Lepisosteus oculatus: one gene and its partner. The protein of the gene in region 1 purifies or fractionates together with the protein of each later gene. This does not show direct contact. Links are inferred from orthologs where the notes say so. Each region holds a gene or a part of one and is shown in the gene's direction. Other genes may lie near its edges. The genes, in order: wdr19 and ift122.

Evidence for each region.
Region 2: the proteins of wdr19 (region 1) and ift122 purify together in Homo sapiens (affinity purification with mass spectrometry; 4 studies listed by BioGRID and IntAct, counting the BioPlex papers as one, with this or other methods). This does not show direct contact. The link is inferred for Lepisosteus oculatus from reciprocal best matches to the Homo sapiens genes WDR19 and IFT122.

What each region holds. Positions count from the first base shown.
Region 1 is NC_090696.1:68,454,896-68,471,077, reverse strand, and holds the start of wdr19 (WD repeat-containing protein 19), read left to right. Parts: upstream 1-7,948; 5' UTR 7,949-8,049; coding exon 8,050-8,055; intron 8,056-8,730; coding exon 8,731-8,822; intron 8,823-9,067; coding exon 9,068-9,133; intron 9,134-9,869; coding exon 9,870-9,995; intron 9,996-11,102; coding exon 11,103-11,218; intron 11,219-11,788; coding exon 11,789-11,904; intron 11,905-13,151; coding exon 13,152-13,232; intron 13,233-14,447; coding exon 14,448-14,560; intron 14,561-15,083; coding exon 15,084-15,257; intron 15,258-16,182. Other genes in the region: klhl5 (kelch-like protein 5), read left to right, coding at 770-826. UniProt on the Homo sapiens protein: As component of the IFT complex A (IFT-A), a complex required for retrograde ciliary transport and entry into cilia of G protein-coupled receptors (GPCRs), it is involved in cilia function and/or assembly.
Region 2 is NC_090699.1:55,794,664-55,811,639, reverse strand, and holds the start of ift122 (intraflagellar transport protein 122 homolog), read left to right. Parts: upstream 1-10,151; 5' UTR 10,152-10,277; coding exon 10,278-10,336; intron 10,337-10,755; exon of another isoform or gene 10,756-10,888; coding exon of another isoform or gene 10,889-10,896; intron 10,897-11,093; coding exon 11,094-11,160; intron 11,161-11,398; coding exon 11,399-11,483; intron 11,484-11,612; coding exon 11,613-11,691; intron 11,692-12,766; coding exon 12,767-12,843; intron 12,844-13,094; coding exon 13,095-13,161; intron 13,162-13,497; coding exon 13,498-13,644; intron 13,645-14,353; coding exon 14,354-14,554; intron 14,555-15,626; coding exon 15,627-15,702; intron 15,703-16,976. Other genes in the region: transmembrane protein 43, read right to left, coding at 779-828, 1,851-1,945, 2,828-2,962, 3,386-3,538, 4,272-4,286; mbd4 (methyl-CpG-binding domain protein 4), read right to left, coding at 5,722-5,796, 5,971-6,074, 7,076-7,225, 7,369-7,503, 7,588-7,659, 7,881-8,851, 9,278-9,487, 9,882-9,943. UniProt on the Homo sapiens protein: As a component of the IFT complex A (IFT-A), a complex required for retrograde ciliary transport and entry into cilia of G protein-coupled receptors (GPCRs), it is required in ciliogenesis and ciliary protein trafficking.

The sequences.
Region 1 (16,182 bases):
TTCAGGATTATTGTACAGAAAAAAAGACAGGTCAAGGCCACCAAACTGAAAGGTGGCAATTCAGAAGGAATGTCATACTCAACACGGTGACACATACAGACAGGCTGTGCTTTTGAGTGAAAAGTTTAAATATCAGTTGACTGCCTAATAGAAAAAAGAAAAGTTCAGATGTCAATGCCTTGAATTCAATTTAAAAATAACAAAACAATGTATGTGTCATATGTTGTGTTATTTTGTGTCATATACTGTATATTTTTTTAATTGCTGTTCTAGTTTAAAGAAAATAACAGTGTCAGTCCTGAGTAAAATGCCTAGCAACACGTCTCCTCCAGATCACTTTGTGTCATTCATGGCCTCTCCTGGAGTTGTATGCTGTCTCTCTCTCTCTTTCTATGCAGACCAGAGCAAAGAGAGAAAGGAGTTCATTTGCCATATTTTAAATTGAGATTCATATTTGTGCCGTTCTTTTTGAACAAATAAGAATAAATAATGAAAGTACAACAAAGCACTATAGCATGCAACGGATAGTACAGAAGATTAAAAACACAGGACTCTTCATACTTGGTAGCCAAGTAAATAGCAGAGCATATGTGCTGCCCAGAAATCTCCCTTTTCTAAAACACATTCAACAAAACTGTCAGAGAACATGTTAATCACACACATGGAAAATGACATTTTTAACATGCAGGAACTGAAACTTTTTCATGAGGTGTGTGCCGGATGGTGTGGGCAGCTGGTTCACTGGGTTATTCCTTGTGATCTTTTGCAGGTTGCACCGTTGTGCCTTGGGAGGGCAGGAGCCTGTGTTGTGGCAGTGAAGTTATAACCCAGCGTCTCCTTCTCCCCAGACATCATTACAGTTCTTATTCTCTTTGTCAAAATCCGCGGCATTTTTTTTTTCTTCTGTCCCAAAGAACTACTTAAAAGGGATTCTACCAAGGAAGAATTTAATATCTATTTCCATTCTGCTGTGTATTGGAAACTTTGCTCATTTAACTGCGCTGTGTCAATCATTAGATAACAGCCCAGCATGATGTACAGCATGTAGCCTCTGTGGAGTTTTTTAATCAGCTGGGCTGAAACTCACAGTCTTTCTAAATTACAGTTTGGCCCTTGTCCAGTTTAATGTGCTGATTCCCAGTTTGATTTTGGATAGGGTTGATTGTACCACAGGGAACAGTATATGGAGAAAGGTTGGAGTCTGAGGCGTGTTATGCCATCGTCACAGACCTCACTGTGCTAGAAGATACTTCTGCTCCTGAAACGCATCGGAGGCTGGTGGGGGGAGGGGATGTTCCCTCTGTTACTGATCCAGACAAAAGACATTCTCACTTTAGAAAATGAAAAAAGAACCATGTATCATTTCTCTTCCTCCTGACAGGTTACAAATTGCATTTTTGGGGACATAGTGAGAAATTGGGATTTTACCGGAGCTGAATTTAATAGCACAGTGATTGAACTGCACATACTCCCATTTTCCCCTGGTGCTGTAATGGATGCATCTCACTGAGCATCAGTGTTCTTTCACCAATGACAGTACAGGCCTGAGACAGGCTGTCCTGCACACTGCTCAGGCAGCAGTGGAGGAAGAGCACAGGGTGTGTGTTGTTTGGTGATAGACATCCATTGCTATTTCTGAAGACATACAGGGTAATTAGACATCACTGTTTGTTTCTGTTCTTTAAGTCTCCTTACTAGACATTCCATTTTTTAAATATCTTTTTAAAAGTAGCCATCAAAGTAGGCAAACATCTGGGCTATTTTCAAAGGCCTTTCCTGCCATTCCAAGCTTATTGCCTGTTTTTGCACATAATAAAATGCTAAATTAAACTCCTGGTATTGCGGGATCAAAAAAAGTGGACTGCTCAAATTATCTGAGTGACTAAAGTGGCAGTTTAGTTCTTTATCGTATTGTCTTATGACTTTCACTCCGTATTTGAGCAAGACACAAAATTGTAGTTTTAGATAAGAGAACAATCGTCACATACAGTAAAAAATAATAGTGACCCACATTGAGACAGGGAGACTCTAACTTTGAGGACATTCAGCAGTACATCATTTCAAATTCATGAATGTATTTTTTCTCTTCTTAGTATTCACAGCACCACTGATCAGTTAAGTGGGATTTTGTTGCATGCACTTTTGAAGCGAATGGCGTAACGCAGACTGTAGCTCCATCTCAGTGCAGCCCTTTGACTTTAAAAACACATTTCCACTTCAGAGAAGGGATCTGGAGTCTCTACAAAGAAATTCAGAGCAGAGATCCGTAAGTCCACGTGTGAAAATGAAGCCTTGTGGATTCCTCCACCTGATACCTCCTGAGTTTTAGGAGGGAAAGCCTTCATTTCAAACTCTGGGGCGGGAGGGGGGAGGTGGTGGAAGAACAGGTGGTTGGAAAAGGTCTTGGTTGAATAAACACCCTGTTGCATTCTCTGATATTTTAATCAAAATTATTCAATGTTCCCATTCTCATGTTCTCCTTCTCAAAATTCCAGAAAAATCTATGTGATATTATATATGTATTGTACTGTATTATATAATTATTATAATCTATATAATATTTTCTGATTTTTTTTTTAGCCAAACAATAGAAACATTCCAACAGAACAGAGAGAAGGTTGTTTATAGGGTAACATCCTGAGCATGTGATGAGTGCTGGCCAGAGCTGGAACTTTGATAGTGGTCTTATAAAGTCTGTCCCCACTTGGTATAAAATGAAGTGTCTGTAATACAGTTTATAGATTGCTTGGACAAATAGGGCAATATTTTATGTTTTTAATTATTTGGAGATGTTTAAAGCTTGATTTGCTTTTATACTATACTGTATGTGCCTACATTTTTCTTCTCATTTCAATTGTATTTTCATTGTTACACGATGGGGGTGTGTTAATGGTCAAATTAAGAAGGTATTCCTCTGAATATTAATGTAATATAAACCAATATTATCTATATTGAATGGAAGATATCATATTATATGATAGTCCACATTGTGGGTGCACAGTTGGTAGACTTGCATTGGATCCATTCTGCATGGCTGGACTGAGGCTTTGACTGGATAAGTTCCACAGGTCAAAGTTGTACAGTACAGTAGTTCCAGTTCAATGCCTGGAAGAGGCAGCAGCAGTAGTTTTTGAACATGATCTGTTAAGAACAGTTTCTTGGGACAGGATATTAGCAGCAACCTAAACTGCCTTTAAAAAGCAGATACTGCAGATTTTACTTATCTTTAGGAAGTCTTAATACTTTCCTTTTTTTCCGTTCCTTCAAATGCAGATGCCATTTTTGGGGGGCTTTTCTTTACTGTTGATGTAGAGCTGTGGTGTTCTGTGGTTCAGTGGAAGGAAGGGGTGAAACTCCTGGGTTCTCATTCAAAAGAGTAGTACATTTCTGAAGGAAATTTCTTCTGCTCAACAACCTGAGACGACAATGGCGGACAAGGGGGACAGATGTTAGCAGATTTCAGTTCCCTGTTGCCCTTGGCATGAACGAGCCCCCACTGTAAACATTGCTCCACCCAGACTGCGATATAAGTAAACAGGATTCCTACATTCCTTCATTCAAACCTGTGAACTGCATTCCTGCTGGAAGTGTGCATGTCTGTTCTAGAATCCTTTGTGTCCATCTGTTGGGGGTGACAAACTGCTTTGAACCCGTGTTTTGACCTTCTGTTGCCTTAATGGAGAGTAGGATATTACAAATCACAGGGCACTGTCTTTGTCACCCCAGAGTTCCGACAGACAAGCATGAGCTTCCAGCTCCCCCATTCTGGTCCCAGGCCCTCCTGTGTGATGTTCTCACCCTGTGTGTGGTATTTAAGTGAAATGTTTTATATATTTGTTTTTCGAAAGGGAAAAATATTTATTTAAATATATGACTTTATTATTTAGCAACTTTGATTTTTTTTAAATAGTTTACTGCATGCCTTGTTTATTCTCCATTCAATCTGCTTTTCTGTGCACTTTTTTATATTAAAATATTGGAAGAAGAAACTGGTGTGTCCAGTGCATTTTTATTAACTGTGTTTCTGTTATTTTAACAGATTGGCTTGGTCTCTTTCCTTCATGTGAGCCATGTGTAACTGTATGAGGATATATCGGTGCCCGTCATGGTCCAGGAGAGTCCTTCAGGTTTTGAAAACTTAATCTACAGTATCACTGGCTAGAGATCATGTTAATCTTGGCTAATTAAGTACCCGAGTGGTTCCATTCAGTAGTATGAATCTTGAATTTGGAAAGAAAACCAGAAGATCCTGAAATTCTCCTGGACCAGGGCTTCAGCCCACAGATCTAGATCATAATCCTGAGATTTAAAATCCTTGTTTTAAGGATTAAGACATCATAATAATTCCTTACACTTATATAGCGCTTTTCTGGACACAAAGTGTCAAAGTGGACTTAAAATGCTTTACAGGTAATGGGGACTTCCCTCCTCCACCACCAATGTGCAGCCCCACCTGGATGATGTGACGGCAGCCATAGTGCGCCAGAACGCTCACCACACACTACCAGTGAGGAGGAGACTAGAAGGAAGAGGAAGCCTGTTAATAGATGGGGATTATTAGTTGGCCATAATTAATAAAGGCCAAGGAAAGATTTGGCCAGGACAACAGCTCTACTTTTTTTGAGGAACACCCTGGGGTTTTTAATGACCACAGAGAGTCAGGACCGGTCTTACATCTCAACTGAAGGACAGCGCCTGTTTATAGTATAGCATCCCCGTCACTATACTGGGGCATTAAGACCCACACAGACTGCAGGGTGAGCGCCCACCACTGGTCCCACTGACACCTCTTCCAGCAGCATCCTTTGCAGGGTGCTATAGCTGCTGGCTTTATGTTGGTTAGATGCTGGACATGTTGGTTATATTTGATTGACTGTGGCTTTTGCTATTTCTGTTCATGAAACAGAAAATTTTAAGCTTCTCCTTTATTGACCTTAATAAATCCTTCCTTCTTTATGCTGGACACGCACAGCGGTTTTGGACAAGCAGAACCTACAGGATCTATAGGTCTTTTCTCTGCCATCACCTGTAATAAGAGAAGACATTGTTTATAATTCAGTGTACACCAGAAAAGAGAATCACCTTGGCCACGGAAACCCAGGAACCTCTTCTCGAAATGTCAGTTACCATAAGGATTCAGACAATCACCCGGTTTTGAAAATGAATAGGGAAACATTTGGACAGGATGAGCCATGAAGCAGCAGCTTGTTGGCAACATGAAGTCTAAATTTAATGATGAAGAAACTTAATTTGGGGAGGCTGTTAAAAATGTAACATGGATTGAAGCACTGTTGTACTGTGTACAGATGCACTGTTTGTGCAGCGTGCAGTTAATTCATGGGTTAACTGCCACTATGCACCTGGAACAGTCCAGACACACCTGGGGAAGCTCAGATCCTCACTCTCTCTGGCAGATGACAAACTGTTTTATCTGGATCAGCTATGGTTTTATTTGCTGAACGGCACAGACTTCAATCAGTTGGTTTAACGGCTGTCAAAGGAAATCCTGTGAGTTGTTTGTTTCCTTCTCTCAGTAGGACATCTGAGGACATCACCATTCTTCATCTGATGGTGTGTGACAGGATTTAACATTATTTACAGATCAACGGATGGCATTGTAAGGATAATTGATGAAGTCCAGAAAATGTTTGTTTCCTAGCCTTTGTTTTTTCATGGAATACCAGCAGTTAAGCAACACATTTGAAGGGCAGGCTTGCACTGACATTATTAGTTATTAGTGATCAAAGAGTAAGCTCTCCTCCCTTCGGATGATTTATTCCCTAGGATTAAGGCTCTTGCTCTCGAATACCTCATGGTATTTTTTTCCCTGGCAGTTATTGTTGTGTGTCTACTTCCCCCAGACCTGCCAGTAAAACATCTGTGTTATAGCACCCTGCTCTCAGGTGTATCAAGGTGAACTTGAACTTGCCACAGGTACAGTATATGACCTCAAATTATTATCTATGAACCTTATAAGAGTCTCATTTTAGGAGACCATGTCATTGTTCTTTTTTTCTTGGTTTTGTGCGGCAGTTATTTCAGATGCTCAGCCTGACTGTTCAGAAACCTTCTGGAATCTTCTGTGAATTTGTCTGGGTTGTTACTGCCGGGACCTTCGGCCCCACACGGTGACTGACGTGATGGCTGGGGGGGTTAGCGATCCCTCGTGTAGGCAGGAACTTCAAGGGTCACTTGGAAATTTTCTCTCATTAGGATTTTGTGTAACGTTTCTCGTACTGCGAAAAACTGCCTGGGGGTCTTTATGTTTGACATGTCAGATAATATAATTTCTCCCATCCCCCGCTGCTGTCTGGACCCTCCTGGGACAGGTAGTGTACAGAGTGCAGTCCAATGAGGTTTCCTCTACAGAATAGTAAATACGTTCAGACTGAGGCCACCGCTGTGAAGCCCCACTGCGTCCAGAAAGCCCAGGGCTCTTTAATTTCTTCATGTGTGCCGAATGTGCTTGTCTGCAAAGGGGATTTTTTTTTCAATACAAAATTACGTTTCACGATGTGAAAAATCTTACGTTTAAAGAGATAATGTATTTTCCCGTACTGCACCGAGGTGAGTCAAACGAGACAAAAAATGCAAATAAATTACACGGCAACCAAAACCCTGTAGCTATTTAAATGCTAATGTCTAAATTATATATTTATGTAAATGTGGTATTTCTCTGCCTTATGCGTTTATACTTACATATAAATGCATATGTATCTCTATATATTGTACACAAAATTATATTTTATTTTGAAGTGAAGATATTTATTATTATCCCTTTAAAGCAAGATTGTAAAGGCAAGATATAGAGTATAGATGGGATAATTTAAGTGTTAGATTCTTTGCCTTTTTTGATAGTACTATCAATAATCAAAATATACAATATAAATAATCGACAACTTCAATCCAGGTTTGTTCTGAGTATGTAATATCAATGCGGTTTTGACAAATCCAGCTGTTACTAGTAACGAAGATATCAGGAAGAGGGCATCAGATGACTCTGCTACTTGGTACATGGTTCATCTTGACCGTGTAAATACATCTTTAGTCCCAGATTAATCACTTTTGGTTAACTTCAGCGGCACAGGTTGTATATTCCGGTGTATTCGAGCATTAGTTAATTAGCTGAGCACAGATAGGGCACAGATACTTGCTAAATTAGTCGGATGTGATCAAACCGGCAAAATGTAACGACTGTCATTTGATTCAGTAATCAATTCAGTTATAAAATCATTCAAGACTGTTTAATCCATCACCTGACAGAAGTTCTCTTGTACATGAATATGATAAGGAAGGACAATCAACTAACTGCACGGAGAGATGCTAAAATGCAAAATGGGGATTTAAAATTGTACTTGTTAGATTCTACCCGCGAAAGTGGGATTAACGGTTTTGTGTGTATGTCCTCTATCCTGTAATTGCATGGAATGTCGTTCCTCTGATCTGAACATTGTGAGTTTCATGCAACTGTTCAGCAGAAATCGCTACCTCTGGGCAGAGAGGAAACCATGCCAACGTGACCTGCCTGTCGATTGCTTCAATCTGCCCGGCCAGTCAATCTCACCAGAGCCGCTAGAGTTGATCGTATGTCCAGAATGTTGCCTTCATAATCAAAAACTAAGGATACAAATGCAAAGTATAAACTTTATGAACCTATACCAGACTGAACTACTGCATGTTTTTGTGATACCACGAAATATTTTTTTTTTACTTGTTAAACGTCAAAACCAAATAATACATTCGGGACGTTTTCTTCGCTGTGAACATAGCACAATGCGCCAGAGAAACGGAGAAATGCGATGCTTGCATAGCAGCAGTTCAATGAGCCCCGAGGAAAGGAAAGAGGAGTGCCTCCAGGCCTACAAGCGGCTCTTGGACTTCACGTCCCAGAATGCCTTGAGAGCCGCGATTTTGCGGTTGGTTTCGAGGTGATTTGATTGGTTGCGGCAGCGGGTCGCTATGGGTGACGCGGACGCTGTGGAGGGATGCATTCTGGGGCGAGCAAAAGCTGAAATGGTGAAGTTCTCTCCTGATGGCGAAAAATAAATTATGAAGGTATCAAAACATTATTTTATGACTGTAGTTTCTAATTCCGATCGCGATCATATGAAAAAGGCACGTGTTAAACAAAGTTACATATTTCTATTCTGTCGAAAAGACCGGCAGTTTCAATCGCCGTGCAAAATAACAATTTCATTGAAGCTCTTTGAAAGATTAATCTTTATTATGATTCTGTGCTTTTCACTTTAGACATCGATCTTATTAACGCTTTCCTGCTTTTCATTTTTGTTTATACATTTTAAGTTTACACACTTATTAAAATACATAATCATTGAATACTGTCATCAAAGAGGCAATTTATAGATTGCAGAAATAGTCGCTAATTATCGCCAAAACATGCACTGTATGAGATTTTCCCAGAGTGTTTACAGTTCATATCGTAAATGGATGTTTTCGTCGACGCTGGTTTTAAGATGTAAACATATAATAACGATTAGTAATCAATCTCAGTTGCAAGGGATAAGAATGGTGAAAATAAAAAAAAATGTTTCTCTGTTGTGAAGTCTTGAGTATAAAAGTATAGAGGCAACGACGATAAACTGAAAACGTATCTAACGCATAAATAGAAATAACAGAAATGCAAACCACTGAGTCTGAAACCTCTCTTTCGCTGCCAGAATGAGGAATATGATCATTGTAGTTACACAGCATCTTCGTCTTCTCCCCCAGCGAGTGTTCACCCTCTCCGACAGGGCCTGGCAGGGCTGCTGTCTGCAGTACAAGTGGCAGAGGACTCTGGGGAGTTATCTCGCTGTCGCTGGGTAGGTGGAAGAGCTCCTGACTTTTCACACTGATCAACAGGAGTTGGGCCAAGAGGACAGTGAGACACTGTGTGCGCAAACATTGACAGAAGAACAACATCCTGGCTCTCTCTCCATGTTAGAAGACGCGTTGTCTTTTTTTCAGTCTGCTAACAATAGGATGTTTTGTTCCTACACCGCGGTAATGTGTGTTTTTAAAAATGTGCTGAAAAGCGTGTGTTAAAAATGACTTTCTTTTTCTGAAGACCTGACCAAACCGTAAAAATCTTCGATCGTCATGGAGAGCAGAGGAATGAACTCAACCTTCCAGGGTTAGTATATGGCTACGTGTAGCTAATGTTAGGCTGTTTTCTAATCTTTGCTTTTTATTTGTTAATTGTTCATTTCACATTGCAATCCAATGTTTATCTCAGATTACAGTTGGACTAAGGGAGACCAGAGCTTTGAGAAAAATATATAAAATTGAATCAATAAAATTGAGTTACTATAGCCACACCTGCAGATAGACACACACTTTGTATGCAGACACCCCTTTAGTATGACACCATGGGTTAGACATTCACATATTCAGTGGGGAAATAATCTATTGATAAACCACCAAGCAGCCTATATCTAACTGATCTAAAAGAAAAACACTGCTGTCTATTTGAGTATTCTGATCTTCAGGTCAACCATTATTATGCTGTTAACATAGAGTTGGAAGTGAACACATTTGCAAATGGAAATCCTTCTTGCTAGCAGTCTTGGATACAGGCTCCTGGCCAAAGTGCTTTGTAGAGTACTCCCAGAACACCCTCCATACAAAGCACTGCTAGCTTCTTCCCTGGACCTCTCAATCCCTATTCTGTTGAGTGCCCAGAATTTGTGCATCCAGGTAATATTAACTGCTGGCTAGGTCACTCTAGATACGCATTTATATCTGATTTCTTTTTCCTTCCCTGTGGTTTTGTCAAACCTTTAAACCAGTATCTGTTGTTAAAACAAAAGCAGGGCACCACGCACACAGTGAGGCGTTTTTGTGTTAACACTGACTTTGTCACTGTTTAGTAAGTGTGTGGGAATGGACTGGGATAAAGATGGAGACATCCTGGCAGTGATTGCAGATAAGTCCAGCTCTGTCTATCTATGGGACGCCAACACCAACAAGATCAGCCAGCTGGACAGTGGCATGAGGTGGGTAGTGAGGATCTGAGAGCCCTGCTTGCAGCGCCAGTCTTTTGGATCATCGATTAACTGGATTTTTGTTTCCCATAGGAGCTGTTTTTCAGCTTGACTTTGCTAAGTATAGAGAATAAATGTGATGTGGTCAGACTGTCTTGAATATCGATTATAGTTTTTTTTGTTTGACTAACCCAGTAAGACCAAATCTGATTTGAATACAAGTCTTAAGGAATGGGAGGCTATTTTTGGATTCGTTTTCTTCTTATCCATCATATTTCAGTTCAAAGAGGTTATGATTTTAAACTATTTGATGAGGGCGCAACGGTGTCTAGATTTTAACAGATTATAACTCAATTTTTAAACCTTGTTTAACCAAAAGCTTTGATATCCTACCACAAAGAGGTACTGTATATCAGAATCACCATCAGTAGGCACACCAGGAGAATATTTCACTAATAATTAATCATTTCTTCATTCTCCACTCATTTTTCCAGGAAGTCATATTCTTACCAGCAAATGGGCTCAAATGTAAAGGGTATTTTGTGAAATCTTTGCCTGTGTACGACGAACTGTAGACTGACAGAGATGTAGAAACATAACTCTTTCTCTTTTTCATGGGAACCAGTGACACTTATTTAGCTAAGTTTAGATTAAGTATATGAAATAGATATTGTGGCCATCTACAGTGCCACAGGTGATGTTTAGGCTTGTAGTTCGGGAAGGCTTGGACTTTGTGGGACTAGGTTATGTGGAAACAGAATCAGATTAAGACTCCTTTCTTTTTTATGTATAAAATTTGCATTACATGGGGTGTTGTTACAGTGTGGAAGTATAAGGTCAATAGAACTCAGTCTTTGAAAAGAAGAGACTCCAACAAGCATAGAAGACTGCTGGTTCTTTTAGCAGAAAAGGTAACCTGTCACTATTTCCCAATGAAGGATGTGAATATATTTAATGAAAACAGTTCTTGTCTTGTTTGGGGGCGTAAAGACTAAAAATATCTAGGTTTTATTTGATCAACAGTCTTCATTAAAATGCATCTCATTGCTTCTGTGGTAGATGGTGCTTCAGACGTCTGTCTCTTCTGTGTTAACTACCTGTGATCCCTCTTGCCCACAGGGACCAGATGTCCTTCCTGCAGTGGTCAAAAGCAGGATGCTTACTGGCTGTGGGGACTGCCAAGGGGAACCTTCTCATTTACAACCAGCAGACCTCCCGCAAGATTCCAATCCTCGGTAACTGCATTTATCATTGGGCATTGCATTTTTGTCTAACGGTACTGTTGTGTTAGACTAGTTAAAATATTTTTCTTAATTTATTTGAATTTATGCTTTTCTGTTTTTTACCATTTAATCCTAAGTCTTTACTTTCTTACCATTCAGGGTATCAGTATGCAGTTTGCTAAATAAGGTCTTTCTATTGCATTACACAATTTTGATATGACATCTCTTTATTTTAATCAACATTTGACTTTATATCACAACAGTTTGCATCTTAATTGACTCCCAACATTGTCTACAAGATGTCGATGATGTGTTTACATAAACATAATCTAAGTCTTTTTCATAAGTAATAAGAATAAAATTAATGTAAAGACTATTATTAGAAGCAGTACTAAACTACCCTTCTTTTCTTCCCCAGTGCATGTTGAGCACGACTAATATTTCTGTATATTACTGTGTTCACTGAAAATTCAGGATTATATTCCTGCTGAAGATGATGTGATTCTTCAGCTGTTCATAGTGATGTTCCTGGCTCAGTGAATATGGAGCTAAAAAATGTCAACCCTTGTCGTTTTTGTTTAGGAAAGCACACAAAGAGGATTACCTGTGGCTGCTGGAGTTCTCAAAATCTGCTGGCTTTGGGGAGTGAAGACAAGACAGTAACTGTGAGCAACCACGAAGGAGACACTATAAGACAGGTGATCACTTTGTCTTCAGGGAGACAAGTGGCAAGTTCTCAGAATGAAGTGCCAGTGAGGGCACAGCTAGTATGTATACCAACATAAGAAGACAAAAAAATCTTAAATAAATTACAGACACCAACACAAAACATCTACAACTATTTTATCCAGACATTTAAAAAAGCTGTGAGCACCAGGGTCCTGTCTTTTACTGACATAGGGAAGCAGAAATCTACCCTGCAGCTAAGGTACAACTATCTTATAGGGTAAAGAGGGAACATTTTTTCTAGAATAAAACAGCTATATTCAGGGTTACAGTACTCTATAAAACATACTAAATTAATGGGAACTTTTTTCTCTATTCCAAATAATGTATCACTCAAGTTTCTCCAGTCTTTTCAATACCACAAATGGAAAATCAGTATTTCCAGTAATATAAGTCACCTGTCCCTGGTGTAAATCCTGGAGCCGGTCTCTTCAATGCTCAATATACCTAAAAGATTTGTAGTCTGGTTTATAGAAGAGGTACAGTACCTTCTCAAAATGTTTAATCTTCTTCTCTCTTTTAATCTCTTCTCTGTAGTTTGTCTTCCTATCTCTGCTCTGTTCCTTGTTTATATTCTTTCTGTCTGATTTCCATATTGATTTTTATACTGTCTTCTTATAGTAATTTAACGACCTCACTAAGAGTGATCTTGTGATCACTGTTAATAATGAGGAAAACAGCTTAGCCCCTTGGTCAAGCAACAAGATGAGATAAGGACAGCCAGGCAAATGCTCAAACATTGTCATTATCTTACCTTAAAGAATGGGGTGCTGTAAAATGTGAACTTTAAAGGTTTTCATACCCTTAACACATAACAGTACGATTATGCAAAATCAGGTTGTCAAATCTGGTCTTATATTACCCCTGTAGATTCACTCTCAAGGCCATTGCTATGGAAACACTTTAGTAATTTGTCATAAGGTTTTCAGTCAGTTACAAGGACCAACAGACTGATAGTATGAATTAAAGAAATATCCTTGAACATACATTTTATAGTGAGTGCTTTTTTGGGAACTGTTGTTGCTATGTTCCTTGCAGTTTCTGTATGTCTTTACAATGAATAGCATGAAGTGCATGCTTCTCTAAGGCCAAGAAATCTAAGAAATATATATCGACGTTTTGTTTCTAAGCAGTCATTTTAATAGTACGAATATGCAGTGAAGAATGTGGCAATGATCGCCTGTTCTTCAGCCCTATGTCCTGGCTTTCCCATTTCCAGACAACAGTCCGTGCAGAGCCTGCTGATATTCAGTTCTCTGTGATGAAGACAGATGAGCGAGCCAGCATGGGCGAGAGCACTGTGAGTTTCACCCTCTCTCAACACAAGCCACAGGCAGCTTCCAGGCAGTTATTCAGCAAACCTCTGATGTCTCCTAGACTCGCCTCTCCCTGGAAGTGTGAAGTTCATAGTGGCACATCTCATTGGCTTAACTGCTGGAGAAGTTCATTATCTGTCTGTATTTGTTCTCTTGGGCTGGCCTTGAAAGTCCTTAAGGTGGATTTTTTAAAAAAAATTCTGGTTAAAAGAGAGCCGATGATTGTGATGAGTTTTGTTTAGTGCTCGGTACATATTGAGACAGAAAGACAATGGTGCATTACAACATCCTTTATTCATTACATGTTGAACAGTGCCCTTTATGCATTTGTGTAGTTGTGTGTGTTAGTTATTCATCAGAGCTGTTGGCAGACAGTGTCTATTTTGTGAATCGGCGTATTAAATTATGTTCAGTTCACTCGAACTGCAGACTCCTGACCTCGACTGTCCCCGCCCAGTATTTTTGTTCACAGCACATAGCTGAATGTAACTTGATCATTGGGATTTTTGAAATTTAGGAAACAAAAAATGGGGCAGCTCAAACTCTCAGCCATGCTAATACCAATTGAGCAGGCAGGCACTTGGAAAAGATTTGTGAGATTCTGTCTGCGCTCAGGTGGGAAGGAACTGATTAGTTGTGGAATGATGTTCCAGCACAGGGCTATCAATCTCAGACTCCTGGGAGATCATCATGATCTTCTGGCTTCTGTTCCACTCTGCACTGTCTCTGGCAGAATGTTTGATTGACTGGAACATTTCTAACTTTTCTATCCAGATATGAAAGAAATCATTGCTTTGTTGGCTTCAGTAAAGCGTTCTTTTACATCATCAACTATAATGAGCTTGAAAACAAAAAATATGGCTATCTGTGCCAATTTTGAGATCAGTTAATTGAGAGGTTAAATTGGAACACAACGATCTAATTGCCCTCCGGGTACTGAGTTTGACACACTTGGTTCAACAGAAAAATAGGAACTTAAAAGAAAAACACAAAAACTTCAATCACTTCCTTCCATCCTCTTCGGCTTGTGTGATATAATATGAAACATAACATTTTTATTATCCACAGATTATGACCTTCCAAAATCTAGTAATCCGAGTTTTATGGGAAGCATGGTTAGCCTGTAACTGTTATTGTATACATGACTTCTTATCCAGTCCTCTTGCCTGTTGTTCTAAATTGGCATATTCTCTCTCTAGGCCAGTGTGGTGGTGGGGAGGAAAACCTTATTTCTTTTTAATCTCAACGACCCTGATAACCCCATTGAACTGGCCTTCCAGCAGCGCTATGGTACCATAATTGCATACCGGTGGTAATGCCTTTACTGTTTTCATCTTTTCTTATTTTAATTAGGTCTCAGGGACAGGTGTATCTGTAACATAAAAGTCAGACCTGCAGAGCTATAGATCAGATTGCCATCAAGCAGCAGTCTGATCCATTTCGTATTTGATGAGTCACTTGTATAAGCCAGCTCCAGGTCCTAGAGATGTTAAGAGTTATCTTATTTTAATTTTTGAAATTTGCTTAATCAGATAACAAGGCCAAACAATATTAAACGCTATTATTACTCAAGCCTGCAGCTGGAAAAAATGCAAAGGATGCTGATGTTGGGTAGTGAGAGGCCTGCATTTTTTAGCAAAATATTGAAAGATTTCTTTATAAATAAAATGTCAAGGAGGAGTGAGAAAAACTGTTGGGATATAGATATTATAATAGCTCTAGGAAAACTGCATGCAAATGAAGACAAGAATATAGGAACCTTTAATACCATTTCTAGTTATTTTTAAAGCAAATATGTTTTGAAATGTGTCTAACTCTTTGCTCCGCTTCCAAAGGTATGGGGATGGATACATTATGATTGGCTTCTCCCAAGGGTACTTTGTGGTGATTTCCACACACATCCGCGAAATCGGTCAGGAGCTCTTCCAAGCACACAACCACAAGGACAGTCTGACCAGCATCGCCATCTCCCAGTCGCTCAACAAGGCTGCCTCCTGTGGAGACAACTGGTAAGAGGGACCACGGGTCATTTTATCTCCTCTTTCACAGGACAGAGCCAGAGAGGGGCAATTCCTGCTGAAAAACCATCCGGTACCAGAGCTCGGCACTGTCTTAAGCAGCACAAGTCAAAAGAAAAAGTGTGTCAGAAAAGCTAGTACCTCGCTGTTTTGCAAGTGTGTTTATCGTCTTTCAGGGACGTCTTAATGTGTTGAATTGCAGATGATATGTACGCGTTTTTAAAACCAGTACTGAAATGCTGCAGTGGAACATGTTTATATGTGAAAGAAGTTAAATGTTCAGTGTAAATGTTCAGCAAAATAAAAGTCAAAAACTAAAACTGGTTGATTACACCTTAAGTACTCATCCTTTTGCTGTTACAAATCTAATTTAGTTCAGGTATACACAATTACTTTGACAATAAATAATACATTTCTGCACCTATCTCTGTAAGGTGCCTCAGCCACATAGTGAATTTATAGCAGAGACTCAGCTATCAGATAACGATACTGCCAACATGTAGCAAAAGGTTTTGTGTGATCAGACAAATGGTTAAGTAGGCTGGTGGAAGCGTTGTTGTGTGGGGCTGCTTCTCTTTGGCATGGAGTGGGAAGTCTTTCAAGATTGAGGGAAAAGGGATGGAGCAAAGGAAGGGCTAATCTTAACAGGAAAACCTACTTCAGTCTGCCAAAGACGTAAATCTGGGATGGCAATCCATCTTTCGGTAGGACTGTAACGAAAAGCACAATTCCAGAGCTGGGAGTGGCTTAAGAATAAGTGAATGTCGTTGAGATGCCCTGTCAAAAGTTGCATCCGACAGGAAATCTGTGGTATGATGAAACTTATTGACTCAACAAAAAGCAACTTGACAAAGTTTAAGTAAATTTGGGAGGAGCAATGGGATGAAAATGTGGGATGAATATTGCACTGCTTGCA
Region 2 (16,976 bases), on another chromosome or scaffold:
GTGAAACAGTCAACTTTTAAAGTGCTTTTACAAGCTTTTAATTGCTTTCTTCATCTGACCAGAGGGCAGCGATGGGGCAGCCAAGGAACTCTCAGAAGAAAGACTGAGCCCTAGTGCCCAGACTAGCTAGTTAAGCCTGGGTCTAGTTACTAGCTGACTGTGACTGAGACATCCCAAGTGGAGGTGGCACACAGTCGGCAGATTCCCGTAGTGGGGCAGAAGTGAAGTTAGTCAGCCAGGGTCTTTCTGGCTAGCGGTGATGTCAATATGGGACATGCTACACCTCCAGGCAGCACTATGTCAAACACTTCAGCATGTCAAAGTGACTCTACATTTGGGCAGGTCTATGCGCGTAGGGAATTTCTCAGAAGTCACGCTATTATGATTGCAGCTAGAAAAACTTTCAGTCTCCAGCCTGAAATGATAGAGGAGCAAATATGGCCAAATAACATTTAAATCTTATTATGTGATTTAGTGTGATGATTTGTGACAAAAAAAATGATGTATTAAGGCAGCTATGGAATAGATTGGTAACCAGTATGTTGCTCTACCATTAATCCTTTTTTAAAAATCAGCATGTCATTACAGTTCAGTCTCTGCCAGGCGACAGTGAAAAGGAGTGTTTTAATTGTGCCTACTTGAATTCACTTTACTTGTAAAGTTGTGGAAAGCTTACAAACCTAACTGCAGTGTGTAAAGATCTAAAGCTTTATTGTGCAGTCTGAACACTGAAGCCCCATCTAACTGAAAAACAGTGGTTCACACTGACAGTACTCACTGTACGTATATGTTGTTTCAGTCTTCCGTTCGCCATTTTCTTCATAGTCCCTTGGGGGAAAAGGATGAAACAGATTACCAGCTAATGCAGCATTTGTGAAGTGTAATTATTCTGCTTTCTTTAAATAGTACTACTAATCAACTATACTATATATGATTGTTTTAAACTGTTACAGGCTTGACTTGTTAAAGATGCTTGTTTAAAAGAAGAAACTGATCAATAATAAAAAAGAAAATGCCCGTTCAAACTTCAGTTAGAACTCGGCATGTGAATAACTAAGCAAACAACTTCTGCAAGACAGTGAGAAACACTATTTTCAGTTTCACATACAGTATCCATACCTCTATCAGACACTGAAATACAGCATGTGGTACATTGAGCCGTGGTATTCGGAGACTATGAAATTTGTTTTGCAGAACATTATTAAAAATGGGTCACTTACTTGAGAACATTTTTTAATTTGATCATGTATTTGTGAATGTACAGAAAATTCTGATTTCATGTGCATTTTTAAGGTTTGCTAAGGTATATCCCCGAAACTTTGGAGGTTAGCCTTGAATGGACAGGGTTGTGGAGGGGAAAATCCCTTTACAGAAGGTTGATTATTCCAGGTAGGAGTCACAATGACGAGACACCAATCCCAGAAGCCCAGGGTGCAAACTGGGACTACACCCTGGACAGCACGCCAGCTCACTGTAGGACACATCCACCCAAAGATGTGCAACAAAGATAGAGAGATCTGTTAACCTAGCTTGTTATTTCTTTATGAGCAGGAAGAAAAATGAAGCACCTGGAGGCACCACACAGACACAGGGAGTGAAGGAAAAATATTCTGATGAAACTGGCCAAATTATACTCAGATCTTTTACAAACATTTAATTCATAAAAAGAAAGCACTGATATTCGCACTGTATAATGACGTTAAGCTGTGGGTGGGTGTATTATGATACGTTGGCAAAGTGATCATGGGGTACTCTCCACTGTTCTCCCGTGTTGCACTATGACAGGCTGTGCTGTTGACACAGCGTCCTGACAACAGTGTGGTGCTAGAGTTGTGCCTTCAGCCTCTCACCGGCTCTCTTGGTACTCCACCCACTGGTACATTTCAACCTCCCGCTTCAGCTTGGCTGCATGGACGCTGATTCTGTAGTTAGGGTCGTTCAAAGGCTGCAACAAGTCACACGTTTCATTCTCAGGACTTAACAGCACTTAGACAGGCAACATACAGGTACAGTACATGAATGTGGGTCCTAGGTGGAGTTTGAGTCCAGTACTCACAATGGTACAATGTGCAATAGTCTCAGTCGGTGCTTATTTTGGTCAAAAGGCTACCTTTGTGCCACACTTACCTGGATACACTGTATTTTTAAATCTTACCACTCTTTCTCTTACATGTAGTCCAATAAAACTTGACATTCTTGCTGCCATATCACCCTGCAACTCAAAACTGGCAGCCCACTGAAGCTAAGTAGGTGTGAGCCTGGTCAGTACCTGTATGGGAGACCTCCCAGGGAAAACTAAAGTTGCTGCTGGTAGAGGTGTTAATGGGTCCACCTGCAGTCTGTGTGGGTCCTAATGCCCCAGTATAGTGACGGGGACATTATACTGTAAAAAGACACTGTCCTTCGGATGAGATGTAAAACCAAGGTCTTGACTTTCTCTTGTCATTAAAAATCCCAGGGCATTTCTCAAACAAAGTAGGGGTGTAACCCCAGTATTCAGGCCAAATTCCCTCCTGGACCAATTATGTCCTCCTAATAATCCCCATCTATGAATTGGCTCTGTTCTCTTCCCCACTGATAGCTGATGTGTGGTAAGCGTTCTGGTGCACTATGGCTGCCGTCGCTTCATCCAGGTGGATGCTGCACATTAGTGGTAGTGGAGGAGAGTCCCCATTACATGTAAAGCGCTTTGAGTGGAGTGTCCTGAAAAGCGCTATATAAGTGCAAGCAATTATTATAATTATCATTAATGATTAAACAGTGTTTCTTTTAATTCAAAGTTTTCCTCCTAGCAGGAGGGGCCTGACAGCTATGCTGCCTACAGTACCTGAGGTGTCCGCAGGGGCCCAGACAGGTGCACCAGCTTTCCATTGTTCTGAGGGTCAACACTATGAATATTGTCCAGAGGCACCACCAGAGACAGGCCCTCATCTAGGGAAGCTGCCGTCTTCAGAGCCCTTCCCTGAGCAGAGAGACAATATACTCTTACTGGGCACCTTCAATGTACAGTTAGCTGCACTTTTTATTTTTCGCAAAGCAGTTAAAACCAGTTAAATTACTGTAAGTTAGAATGCAGGGAGAATCCCAGCTGACAGACTCAAAAGGCTTTTGTTATTTCAAATATATTAGACTGTGCCTGAAATACAGCAAGGAATTAATCTTCTCAGTCATCACCAATGAAAACCTTTAGAGCCGTGTTAGCTAGGGCAGGGTGTACAAGAATGGACTAGATCTTGCACATTATAAATGTGTATGTTAAGCCATCTTAAAATGAAAAGACAATAGCATTTCTACTACATGAAACGCAAGTGTCAAAGGGTCTGTTCCTTTAAATGTGGTTGCCCCAGCAGCTCATGCTGCTGACGATTAGCTTGATTTCTGGTACCTCGTTAGTGAAGAGTACATAAAAAGACAGGGCAAACAGCCCGATGCCAATCAGCATTCCTCCGCTTGTCTGGCTCAAGCGCTCGAGGAATCCAGCGTTTCTATGGCTTGTCACTTTCACATGCTGGTCCTTCCTCTGTCCTTGGGAAGGCTGCTGAAATAAATCATAAAAATAAAACATTTAAGCCCACATTCACCTTCGCTAACAAGAGGCAGCATGCTTATTAGGTCATTTCTATAGCACGGAATTTGTAAGTGTAATGTGTGTCCGTAATACAGTATGTTAAGAGCATGTGAAGTGGGCTATTTAAGTGCACAACCATTAAAAAAACATTTTTTAGCCAATCTACTCTAAGATTGAACCTCACACTTTGATAGACTTACTGGATACCTTTTAAAACATGTATGAAAAAAAGTCTCTAACCCCATCCCTATATACCTCCTTCATTCTCCAAAGACCATACCTCACTATTTAAGTGTAATTATTATTAAAAGTGTACCTTGTGGTTTTAAGATGTGCTTTATAGTTTGTTTAGTGAATTCCACAACTCTCTCCCATTACTGCCTGGTACAGCTCTGATAGCTAAATGGGAAAGTTTACAAACAGCGCATTTTGCAGAAGAAAATTAAATAAGTGCCATACATGTAACCGTGTTACTTGTAAACGATGAAAAACATTTTCATCGGTTTTTTTTCAAGGGTTAAAATTATGGTTTAAAGGTAACAGCACCTTCAAAAAAGATCAAAATGTTTTCGACGCAAGGAAATATGAGCATCAGTATCATAACTTAATCCAATCATTATTCGATTTTCAGTTTCTATTCACCGTGTCTTACATTTTCGTGCCTTAAACGCACAAGTCTAGGTAAATTAAATACTTCACTTACATTAGCGGCCGACATTGTGTTGATCTCCGCCCTGAGTTATTCAATTTCTAAAATAAAACAGTAAAACGTCCGTATATACGATGGATGTGAGAATAGCACAAAAACTAAATAATTTCGGAGTTTTGTGAATGATCTGTTGGGATTTGCATTCGCTCAAAACAAACTGCTTCCAATTAAACCACCTATTCAAACAAACCCGAAGTTCAAAACCGGAAAAATTTGGACGTTCAGGGTTTAAAATAATTACGTTCCTTCGGCGTCTGCGCGATTGCAAGACCGTCGCCGTTCGCTTTTCCAATTTGTCAACTGTTGTGTGCGTTGGCGCAGCGAGGTTTTCTGGGAACTGTAGGCTGTACATGTAACGTATGACCATCCGTTATACTAGTATATCTGTTTTTACTTGTTATGTGAAAATTCAAACATTAATCCAGTGAGTTTTAGCTTTTTCTAAAACTATGCAACCAGATAACGATTAGCCGTGGGTGTTTCGGAACGTGCAAGCAGTGCAGAAATAATAGCGTCCCTTTTCAAGTAAATGACTATAATATTATGTTGAAAACATTTTCATATACACCAGCTTTACTAAAGTCAACAGTTAATCTCTGTTACAAACTTCCCAAATATGTCTTTGGTTAGGTGAGCAGGTAATTAATTCAGCACTAAATCATGACCCGATAGTACGTGACAACTACTCTTGCATTTATTAAATTAGAATATGTGTGCTGACCTTTTTTCAAATGCAGCTATGTAGCTTACATGTGTTAAAATATAACTGAAAATGTTATTATTTATCATTAAATATCCTATGTTGCCACAATGAAATCAATTACAAATCAGTCCAAGACTGAATTTATTAATAGATTAATGGGTACAATAATTTAGTACAAATAAATTAGTATAAAAGGTGATACATTGGAGATGTGAATTAAGGAAACTTAGAATACTATTCTAAGTAGATAATACTATTATCTTTTTTTCTAGTGTACAACTACAGGACATTTGAAGAACCGACTTCATTTAAATAATCAAGTGGGAGAATACAGAGCTGCTACTTCAGAGAGAGATTAAGACGTTTTAGAAAAAACAACACCAAAAAAAACAGAAAAGTACAAAACACAAGCTTTTTTATTATTATCTCTAAAAATATGTTTTGCGTTAAAGAATATTTTAATTACAGATTATATGTAAGCAGATACAAACTTCAATTTTTAAGCAATGATATGTATCTTAATAGTTTCTAGCATAAACACACAAAAAAGCACACGCATACAACCTGACAATATAAAACCAGTCAAAAGCTGACATAACTAAAAACGTGAAGACCTGTGTTTTATCACATGGTTGCAGTCCAGTACATTTTTTGAATGACAGAGTGGTAAAATGCAACAGCAATAATTCAACATTATTCTCCCTGAACCACTTTTCCGAGATTCCAAGCTTCGTCTCGGAATCAGATACCCAGGTGCTCGTGGTTTTCCCGGAGCCATGCATGATACAAGTTCAGCTTGTGATCTTGGGGATCAACCTAAGAAGATAAACATGGATAAAAAATCGACAGTTACCGTCACATTTTTCCAATCCTGCTTATGTGTCCATAAAAAAACAGGGCCCGTATCATGTCTGGATAACTCTGTCATCCATTTTTGTGATTACACTGGATAGAGTTCTTAATCAATGAGTCCAGCTGCCCCCAACTCACCTGTTTCCATTCATTGACACAGAATATCCTGTAGGAGTCGTTGCCATACTTTCCTATACCATGGAGCTCGATGGGGTACTTCCAGTGTTTTGTTAAGTATTCATCTGCAATGGCAAGAATCTGAAATGTAAGCCTTTCGCACCTGTACAGAGTTCAAAGGCTTTACGAGAGCAAAGGTTTGTTCTCCTACAAGAGTCTGCTATCTAAGCAGGTGCAAAACCCCAGTCGGTCACATTGGTGCCAGTAGAGAACAGGATCAAAATGAGGTCACACACAAAACTGGAGAGAACTCTTTCAAGTATCATCAGAGACTTATACTGTGCTCTTTTTACCTTGTGTGTCTGCTGAAAAGTGAAAATTTCACATTGGTTTTCTAATACACAATGTACAGTAGATGGAGGGCTGATTATAAAATCATTTTGACTATGACTGATTGTGATGGGCAGGGTGAAATTAGATAAGCGTCATTATTACATCCTTTGTTAACCACAACATACAGTGGTTGTTATCCATAGTCTGTGGATAATAAGCAGAAACTCCCTATCACCCAATTATGACAGGGGTGGTGTGGTGTGTCTGTGGCTAAGGAAGTTGGGGTATGCGAAAATACAAATTCCTAATACAAGAAATTGCATATGGCCAATAAAGTGTTTTATCTTATCACAAAGTGAGCTTAGTGCACTACACTCCAAATACAACATACTTACTTCTGCAAATCGTATGATTACACTGATGAAAAGAAAAACATGGAAAAATAATCCTCAACATAATCAGAATATTATGAACATTCAGTTTTATGTAGTTCAGGACTATGGTGAAGAAATCCATCCTTACATCTGTTTTCTAACCGGTTCTTCTAGTTCAAAGTACCAGCACAGAAAGAGCTTACCCTGGCAAGCAACAGGCACAAGGCAGGGTACACCCTGGATGGGATGCCACCCCACCACAGGGCAGATAGGCACCAACACACACACGCATACAACTCACACCTAGGACTTGTTGAAGAAATCACTGTGACACACAAATTGCTTAACATACTGTAGCTACAGTATAGTGAGAAATACATAATTGCTTCTTTTTTGGTTTAAAACATTGTATCACTCACCTGAAAACCTCACAATTGTTTTGGCTCTGAGTTCATTGAGGCCCAGAGGTTTCAGCAGTTCAGCCATTTCTTTCCAGTCGCTGACACGGGCCACCTCAGGAGACGGGTAACGCCCAAAGAACTCCCACAGCACAGGGATTGCCATCTTACCTAAAAGAAAGAGTCTCTTTACTTTCAACTGACAGAAAGACAGAACTGAACCGCGCCCCACATCCGAACCTAGTATTTTAGGTTAGCTCTCTGTGAAGGGAATTGTCTCATTGTCCTGTTCTGTTTGAAGCCACAACTCTTACCGCTGGTTCTATTGAGGAAAATGGTGGCTATCAGAAGCTTCCAGGGATCATGGAAAAGAGTCTCCTGTACCAAGGCAAAAGGAGAGCGAGGCGGAGTCCATTTCTTAAAGGCCTTGCGTCTGGGTGGACTTGGAGCTAAGAAAAATAAAGTGAACATGTTTCATTTGGGAGAGTTGTCCTTTTTGTTCCTGGTAAAAGTTGAAAATGATGTTTCCTTACCTTCTCTGGCTAATTTTCCAGTGAAGTACTGGCTTGTTTTTCTTTTCTCTGACAGCATTTTTATGCCACAACCTGAAGGTAAACAAAACAGTACCAGATTCATTGATGGACTTGGACAATATTTCAATGTTTCTATCTAAGGTTTTCTTAAGCCTTCTCCTTTTGTAACTGAATATACTGTCTATTTTCATTGCAAAACATATCAGGCCACGATTCCTATTCGGTTTGGAGAAACCCCTCAATGTTCCCCAGAACGTTAAGAGCTATACTCAAAGATTTAACTTTATGCTTACTGCTTTGCTGCTGTTTCACTGATGTAAATGTCCCCGAGTCCCCCGGAGGAAGTGAATCACCATCTTCTAGCGCAGACTCAGTTTCAGGTCCGACAACAGCTTGCTGTGTCTCTGCAGCGTTCTTAGACACAGGCTGTAAGGCACTTTTCCCTGGGGCAGAGGCCTCAGGCTGGTCACACACCACTTCTCCCGACTCATTTTCACCTTCTGGGGAAAGTGCGAGCTCTGCTCCTTTATCCGCTTCACTTATCTGGGTCAGTCTGAGAAGCTTATCCTTTAAAAGTCCCTTTTCAGTCTCTTTTTGATCTCCAGTGTGGTTTGCAATTTGATTTTCTCCTCTTTCACCGCTCACAGTCAGTGCGTTTACGTCATTTACCTCACATTCCTGTGCCAGTCTGAGAAGCTTGTCTTTTAAAAGCCCCCCTTGAGTCTCTTTTTGGTCTCCAGTGTGGCGTTGACTTTGCCCTTCTTCCATTTCACTGCCCGGAGTCAGTTTATTTCCCCGTTTGCCCACTGCTCTTTCAGCACCGGCTTTTCTAACCCTACTGCTGGGATCCTTCCTCTGTTTCTGTCCTCTCTGTGGTCCTGCGGGAGTGAGCTTTGTCAGTGAGTGCCGACGTTTAGCCCTGGCTCTGCAACTTGTGCTTTCAGATTCTGAAGACTTGGATTTCTCAGCACAAGGCGCAGAAAAGACCCCGTCAGTGGCAGCATCATGTCCAGACAGCTCTTCTGACACACTGCTGGGTGACAAGTGTTCCTCTTCGGCTGTAATCTTAATGTCAGTTGTGCTGTCCAAGACGGTTTCTGAAAGTTGGAGAGCTTTCTTCTTTTTTGTCCTCTGAGGTTTTGTTAACTGTTTGTCCTTCCCAGGTACAGAGAAATCAAAATCTGCACCCTTGAGACAGAGTTCTTTGTTATTCTGAAGGTAGACATGGAGTGAAGCTCTTGATCTGAATTTCCCTCCCTGTGGACTGAGTACACCAAGTGTTAATTCCTTTGGTTCAAAACAAAATACGTCTCATATATATATATATTGTTCTCAGATCTGACTAACAGTTACAAAAACAACTGTACAAATGTATTTTTAAAAGCTTGTTTTTCTATATGGTAATGCATAGGGACCATTCTCTCAGACATGCAGACTGCAATAAACATGAGTAACAACATCTATGTACAGCAACAAGAAAATAGAACCTGAAGTGTTGTGCCTCTTTTTAACACAGGTTTGAGCATTGATGTAGATATAATTACTTTATAAACATTTGTAAAAACATTTTTTAGAGGATGTTATTGACCAATCATAATTGTTCATTTTCAAATGCCCTTGTGCTTATCTAAAATGGGGAAGATGTATTTGGGATCATATAGACACTTGTACTATATTTATAACCCAGTACCTGATGATATATACGTCTACTTTCCCTGCCGTTTTTCCAGATCGCCTCTGTTTCACCATTTTAACCCAGCCTGGCGGGACTCCGAGACAGCAGCAGGTCTCCATACACGAGTCGGGGCTGGGACTCTGCTTTGGTGCAGCTTTCTCTTGCTGGTCCTCATCTGACAAAGAGGGCTCTTCACACGCTATTGCTTCTGTGGTAGCAGTTTCACTAGGTTTGGAAACAAAACACACAAGTTTCCAAAATGTCTAGTTACAAAAATGTTGTCTATGAGACTAGGATAACCCCGTGCAATACTATAAATCCCTGTAACATACGGTATATAGTACCACAATTAGCTATTTAGTCACGAAACCTGCCTTTAAAATTAATACACATGCATTTCATAGCATGTCAACCAAAAATAAAATATATACAAAACGTTTTTACGAATATAGAAAATGTACTGAAAATGTGTTCTGCTTATGTTAAATTATAATGGCCATAGATAAGAAAAGCATAGGTACAATATAAGCAAACAATTAAACTCTGACTAACAGTATATATCATTAAAATAACTGGACTAATACAGCTTTTAGATCACTTAGCTGTTTTGCTTTCTTACCTGACAGTAGTTCTGCTATTAAGATCATCCATCCGTAAACGCGGTAACTCAAATTCATGCATAAACTGAATCCGTAAACGTAAAAACTAACACACAGTCATGCTGATTTAGATCAGTGTTCCATCGTTAAAATGCTACCGCTCGACGTATTAGAATTAAAAAGATGGAATTACAATAACTCTGCTTTGGAATAAAACCGTGATGCTTGACACTTTCCTGTATACTTCTCCTGTCGCACATGCGCAGACCGCTCAGCAAGCTACATGCAGTGTGCGCATGCCCAGTGTGACTCCGAGATGTAAACAGTGTGATTGCGGAAAGAAGTGGGTTCTCTACATTGTTAGTTTGCTTTGAGGAAGGAAAGTGTAGAGCAGCTCTTGCTAAAACAGAACCACGATGAGAGCCGTACCGACATGGATAGATAAAGTGCATGATCGGGATAAAGTAGAGCAATGGTAAGAAGGAGACGTTTTTAACCACGTATGGTCGCTTAGCGGCATCTGTAGGCCTGTTGCTAACACCGTTGGCTGTCGATAGCAACCATGGTTGCCAATGTAAACTGTGTGAGGAAAAATGTGTCACTTTAACATATGGTAAAAATATTAAACAACTACGTTGTTTTTGGAACTTTGTCATTATAAAATATTGAGTCATTTAAAGTCGTCGTGTTTATTTGCTTTCAGTTCATCCTAGGCATATGGCTTATTTTTAGCCAGTTACCATACTAAGCACTCAATTACTCTTGCATCTGATCGAATGAACGTGTGTATTTATTTAAATGTTTAAATTGTTGTGATTGTTTAAATTGCAATAACAATTGTGATTGTTTATACCCTGAGCTGACACATAACATGCATTCAAAGATAAATACTGTACACTGTGCAGGTTTCGCTGATCATATTTTTAAAATCATTGCTTTTCACTTGATTTTTTTCCCACTTACAGTAATAAAATATGACCAAATCAATCGCTTTCCCAAACTGAGGAACAATTTATCAAACGGACAGATGACATTGTTACGTTTCATTGAGTTTTTTGTCCTTCTTTTGACATTATGTAGAAAGACTCAAATATGTATGGTGATTGTGTTATGAAACATCCCACAAGGAGTTCTATCATAAACTAATTTAAAAAGTATACAACTATAGCTATAGTAGTATCACGAAGCAATAGTGCATTATTGTAACTATAAATCATTCTTCCCCTAAACAGTATTTACGACCTTGCGTTCAAGCCAGATGGGAGTCAACTTATAGTTGCTGCTGGAAATCGAGTTTTGGTACGTGCTTTTGGAAGTTGTGATGTATTTTGTGTAAAGATATATATATATATTATTTAAATACTCTTATACGAATATAGCATTTTTCGAAGACATATTTCGAAGAAATACTATGCCTTCGTATTTTTAACGTTTTACACTTTCAGCACCTTGAGTTTATTTTTCTGATTTTTTTTTAAATCTCAGGCAACTGTGGAATGTTCTTTGTGGAAATTAATTATTTTGTCTTGTGTTTTAGGTTTATGACACAGCTGATGGAACACTTATCCAGCCTCTAAAGGGGCACAAAGACACAGTATACTGTGTTGCCTATGCCAAAGATGGTCAGTTTTTAAAGCCTGCTTTGAAAAAAATGTTACTGTATATATGCTCTTCCCATACTAAATAAGTATCTTACATATACACAATAAGGTGTAGTAGCTTGACAAAATAACAATATATTTTTTTTCCAGGGAAGCGTTTTGCTTCAGGTTCAGCTGACAAAAGTATCATCATTTGGACTTCTAAGCTGGAGGGAATATTGAAGTATACGTAAGTAAAACATTTTAAAGTCCTCCTGAATTTGTTTTTTTATCTGCACCTTTACACTTGTTGATGTAATAATTTTACTTTTGAGAAGTAACAATCGTGACACAAAAAGCCAAATAAATGACCTTTTATGAAATTTCTTGTCTTATGAATTCCTGTGTACAATGGGCTCTTCAGTCAACTTTAAGGAATTATTTAATAATACCATTTAGAGTTCTCAACTGGGTTTTACAAGGGTTTAGCATGGGTGGTGATCTGGCCATTCCTAGTGAGGTCATTAATCCAGCCTCCATAGGAATGGGCAATAGTATGAATACAGGAATGTAAAGGAAGGGTTAGTAAGGAGAGGAAGAGGAAGAGACATCATTATCATCATGAGAAGCTTGTGCTGGGAGAGAGTGCGTCTTTCAAATTAGACTTGAAATCAGGTGTAGTCCAGGTAATTTTAATCCAGAAAGAGCAGCAGATTCTGAGCCATATTATTTAGGTGGTTTGTTGTTTTACTTGTTCAAGAAAATTGTTGTTTCATATATTGTGCAATCCTCAGTCTTAAACTGTCTTTTGTATTTTACTGATTTTAGAATAGGAAAATTGGCTCATCGAACTGTGAGCATCTGTTTAGAGAGGGCGATTTAGTGCTGGTTAGAATCCCTTTCGTTTAAAATGCAGGTTCTTTCTTTTTGGCCTGTTAAGGATAAAATTATTTGATTTTCTGTGCCTATATAAGGCAGAGCTCTGGAGCTTGCAGACATGTAAATATCCATTCATAGTAAAAACATTGTATGCTGTGCAATCTTGTGTGTTGTATAGTTCTGTTATTTGTTAGAAAATAAATTGTGTAAATTTGGGCCCAATTTCTATTCTTTTATGAGGATATGCCAGAGAATAGGTGCTGTGGAATGCTTGATAATCCCAGATTTAATTAGGTAAAATTACTGATCTTTAAAATTTACTTGTATAGCATCCTAGTACCAAGACCTGATTAATATTTGATTGTTATACTGAATTGATAACCTATTTTATCATTTTAAAATCATAGGTTGTAACAATTTGACAATTTGTTTTGTTTTTTAAATAGCCACAATGACTCCATCCAGTGCGTTTCATATAATCCAGTTACACATCAGCTGGCCTCCTGTTCGTCCAGTGATTTTGGTGAGTTGTTTTGTTAAGATATGTTTGTGTTAGTATAACCTTAGGGAAATAATTCCGGTAATCATTAGTGATCTCTCCGTACTTAAAACACAGATGCTTATCATTGACAGTTTGATAACTACAGCAGCTTCTTTACTGACTATGGAAAACAATAATATATTATGTGGAGTATTGATTTGATAAAACAGTGGTATTTTTGTAGAAAGTTGAGTAAACATTAACATGAATACTATATTGTATTACCTATTTAGGTTTGTGGTCTCCAGAACAAAAATCTGTCTCCAAACACAAAGTCAGCAATAAAATCACATGTTGTGGGTAAGTTATAAATACTAATTTAATTGTCTAAGCAACCATTGCTGTGTGTGTTTTGTGAGCAAGAATTATCTGTCCCATTGTATATCTTAGCAGTTGTGGTTTTCATCATATTAGTTTAGTTGTTATTGCATAAAGTGTTGCAAAGTTGTAAAAAAGAGTTTAATATTATTGGACATAGGATGAGCCTTAAGAGTTACCAGTTCTTTTGATTTTGAAAACGTTATCTCACACCTGTGATCTATCCATCCAGTCTTCCTGTATACGTGGACTCTTCAGACACAAAAAATAATTTATCATATTGTTGCGTGAGAAAACCTTGTGTAAATTTGATTGCAGGTGGACCAATGATGGTCAGTACCTTGCTTTGGGGATGGTGAATGGAGTAGTAAGTATCCGCAATAAAAATGGGGAAGAGAAGGTGAAGATAGAACGTCCTGGAGGTACCCTGTCACCCATCTGGTCCATTGCCTGGAACCCATCCAAGTATGTAACAGCAAAAGTAAAAAATCCTGGTTAGCTTGTGATAACTCGAAAATGAAGAACAGGGAACATATAAAGACTGAGCACATGGAATCAAAACATTCTATCCTATAATTCTACAATCAAAAGTTAATGTTGATGTATTGTTGAATTTGAACATGGCAAAACATGTTTTCTCATTTTGATGTAAGGAATACAAGTTTGTTAAATAATGACATAAAAATAATGGTTTAAAAACTTTTACATATGAGGAACGGAAACGGTATGTATTGATCTTTTTGTCATTGTCTTAAAATGTTGATGTAAGCTTCATCGTTACTTTATGACTAGATGTTGTCATGAAGTTTGTATGATTTTGTGTTTAATGGGTAAAAAGGAAAACAATTCCATATTCTGTGTAATTACAAAGTGACAAAAATTAGTGTCGGCTATCAACAAGTATAATAGGAAAGTGGAAAAATCAGAGGTATTTCCAATTTCATGATAGATATTATTGAATCGGTGCCTTGAAACTGGATTTACGTACATGTATTAATTCTGTATAAATACAGAATTTCCGTATTCTACCATATCCTGTCAAGTAAACCTTCAGTCAACTGCATGTCATATTCTTGCTTTGGGAACAAATTAAAAAAGGTAGCTTCATATGGCAGTGATTTCAGGTGTAGAAGTAGAGGTGTAGAAAGCCCCCACATGTAGCCAGTGCTTGCAGTAGGTGGAGGACTGTCTGGAAGAGATGCCCTGAACATGGGGAAGAGGAGCCACTGACGGAGGGCAGTGTTTGTGCACCTTCTTACCTGTGGGCTGAAACAAGTTCGAGTCAGGGCAGTGAGGCAGAGGAGTCCCAGCTAGAAGAAGAGAGAGAGGATCTGGAGGGCCATTTGCTTCAGGAACATGTTGACAATACTGATCTGTAAGTGATAGCATTTGAGGTAGGGGAAGATCGTTTTAAAACTTTAAATCTTTTAAATGGTAGTATAATTGGTTGATATTGATATTTTCAATTATTAAGTATATATATACAATGTAGTTAAAAAGCAAGAACACCCCCTTAAGAGTTTATGGTTTAACATGTTTAGAGTTACTGTATTTGACCTTTACCTAGTCATTACCTAGTAGATCAAACTAAACTCATTTGACAAATAAAGCACAGAAATTCTACTTTGGCTTTATTTTAAAAAAATAGCCAGACTTTAATATCTTTTTGTGAAAAAGTAAGTGGACTTCTTGATTCGATAACTTATATATATATAATATAACTTATAACTTATATATATAACTTAACTTAATAATTTTTCCTGTTGATTTGTTGATTAGTCTCTCACATCTGTGGGGGGGGGGGATTCTGGTCCATTTTTTCTTAGAGAGCTGCTTCATTTCTGTCGTGTTTGAGGGCACAGCTCCATTTAGGTCATGCCGCACCTGTCTGTATTGTATACAGATTTTCGCATTCAGGTTTTGTGCTGTGCAAGACACGCAGTACAAAGGCATCAGGAAATGCATGTAGACGGCACAAAGTGATGGTTCTTTGAGTTCGTGTTTATGCAAACACTATGCTTCATTTGTCAGAGAAGAATAGATGGTAGCTGGCATGCTCCACAGCAGAGGTATGTCACATGTGGGTGATTTGCTTTCTAGGTGGTGACCATGTCATAACCTATTCTCAAGGATAGTACATTGTGAACAGCAGTGTCTGCCCCAGGTTTTGAAGTGTTCTTCCTCTAGTCTGACGTCCAGAGCCCCAGTTTCTATTCCATGCTAATGCCACTAATGAGAATAATGAGAATCATAAAAAGGAATAAGGAACTGACATAGAGCATAACTTGAAACATTCTTTGTCATCAATTGGGATTTTTATTTTATGAGTTGTCTCTTTTGACCAGTAAAAGAGTTTGGGCTATATTTTGATGGGGGTTTTGTATTTAAGGTCACATAATCAAGAATAGTCCATGCGGTGGATGACAAACATGTTTTTCTTGTCACAGAGATGAGCACAATGACATCTTGGCAGTGGCAGACTGGGGCCAGAAGTTGTCTTTTTATCAGCTAAGTGGCAAACAGGTAAGCATTCAATTAAAATTTAAGTAGCAACATGTAGTATGCTTTAACAGGAACATTGGCTCATATTACCCTCACCAAATCACTTTTTTAGCAAGAAAGAAGAATAGGTTCCCCTTATTAGTGTGATAAGGCTCACCTAAATTGTGATGTTTAATGTTTCTGAATATGTATTGAACATTAAAAGAAACTTGTCACTCTCTTTATGTGTGGACTACTGTTTATGTAGACCACCCTGACCTTGTGTCATCAGGTACTGACAGGAAAACATGAAGACATTGCACATTAATCTAGGTGGACAATGCATGTTCTCATGCTGGTTGTCTAACAATGATTTTCTTTCAAAAGAGAGTATGACATTTGTGCTGTAAATGCCCTGTGTACCAGACCTGAGGCCCATTGAACATAAATAGGACGATGTGTGGTATCTAGGGCCCAGAGACCAGTGAAGAAGCACATGCTTTTCCAGGCTGTATGAGACAGAATCCCACAAGAAAACAACTGCAATCTGGTGTAAACTATGTGCCATTGATGTTCATCTTGTATTGCTTCCAGCTGTTGGCCACACGCTGCTACTGCCTTTCACATTAGACCCCTGTTAATTAACTCATTTGATAACAAAGATTAATCAGCATAAAAATTGACCTCTTCTAAGTCTGTTAAAAAAAAAAAATAGGTGCTTGTGTTCCATAAAATATTTTGATATTTTCCTGCTAGGTTTTTAAATATTTTGTAATTTGTGAAATAATTCTTATGATATTTGGTATAGTATAATAATAAATAGTATGAGTAATAAGTGAGTAGAAAAATGTTACTGTAGTATTGCATTTTCAGATGTCTACCAAATGCTAAACTGTTTGCACTCATGTGTTTGATCTTTAGTGGGCCTGGGGAAGTTGAAGATTTGGATCCACTTATACCATTAAACATTACATACTCCAGGGATAGGCAACTCCAGTCTTTGAGTGCTGAGTCCCTGCAGGTTTTAGAGGCAACTTTTAATTAGCACCTGATTTAAACTTGGAAAGAATTTTGATTTATTATTTGCTTAATCAATTAAATTCAAGCTTTAAATATGATATGGAATAGAAACCAGAAACAAATACGGCACATAAGGGCTAGAGTTGTCTACCACGATGTACTCTTAAATAGTATTTTGTTATTCAACATCATGCATTTTCAGCCTGGGCACCCTTTTATTCTCAAGAAAAAACAACAAAACAAAACTTACAACATTGAGATGATATACGATGGCATGCTGTTAATTGACAGCAATG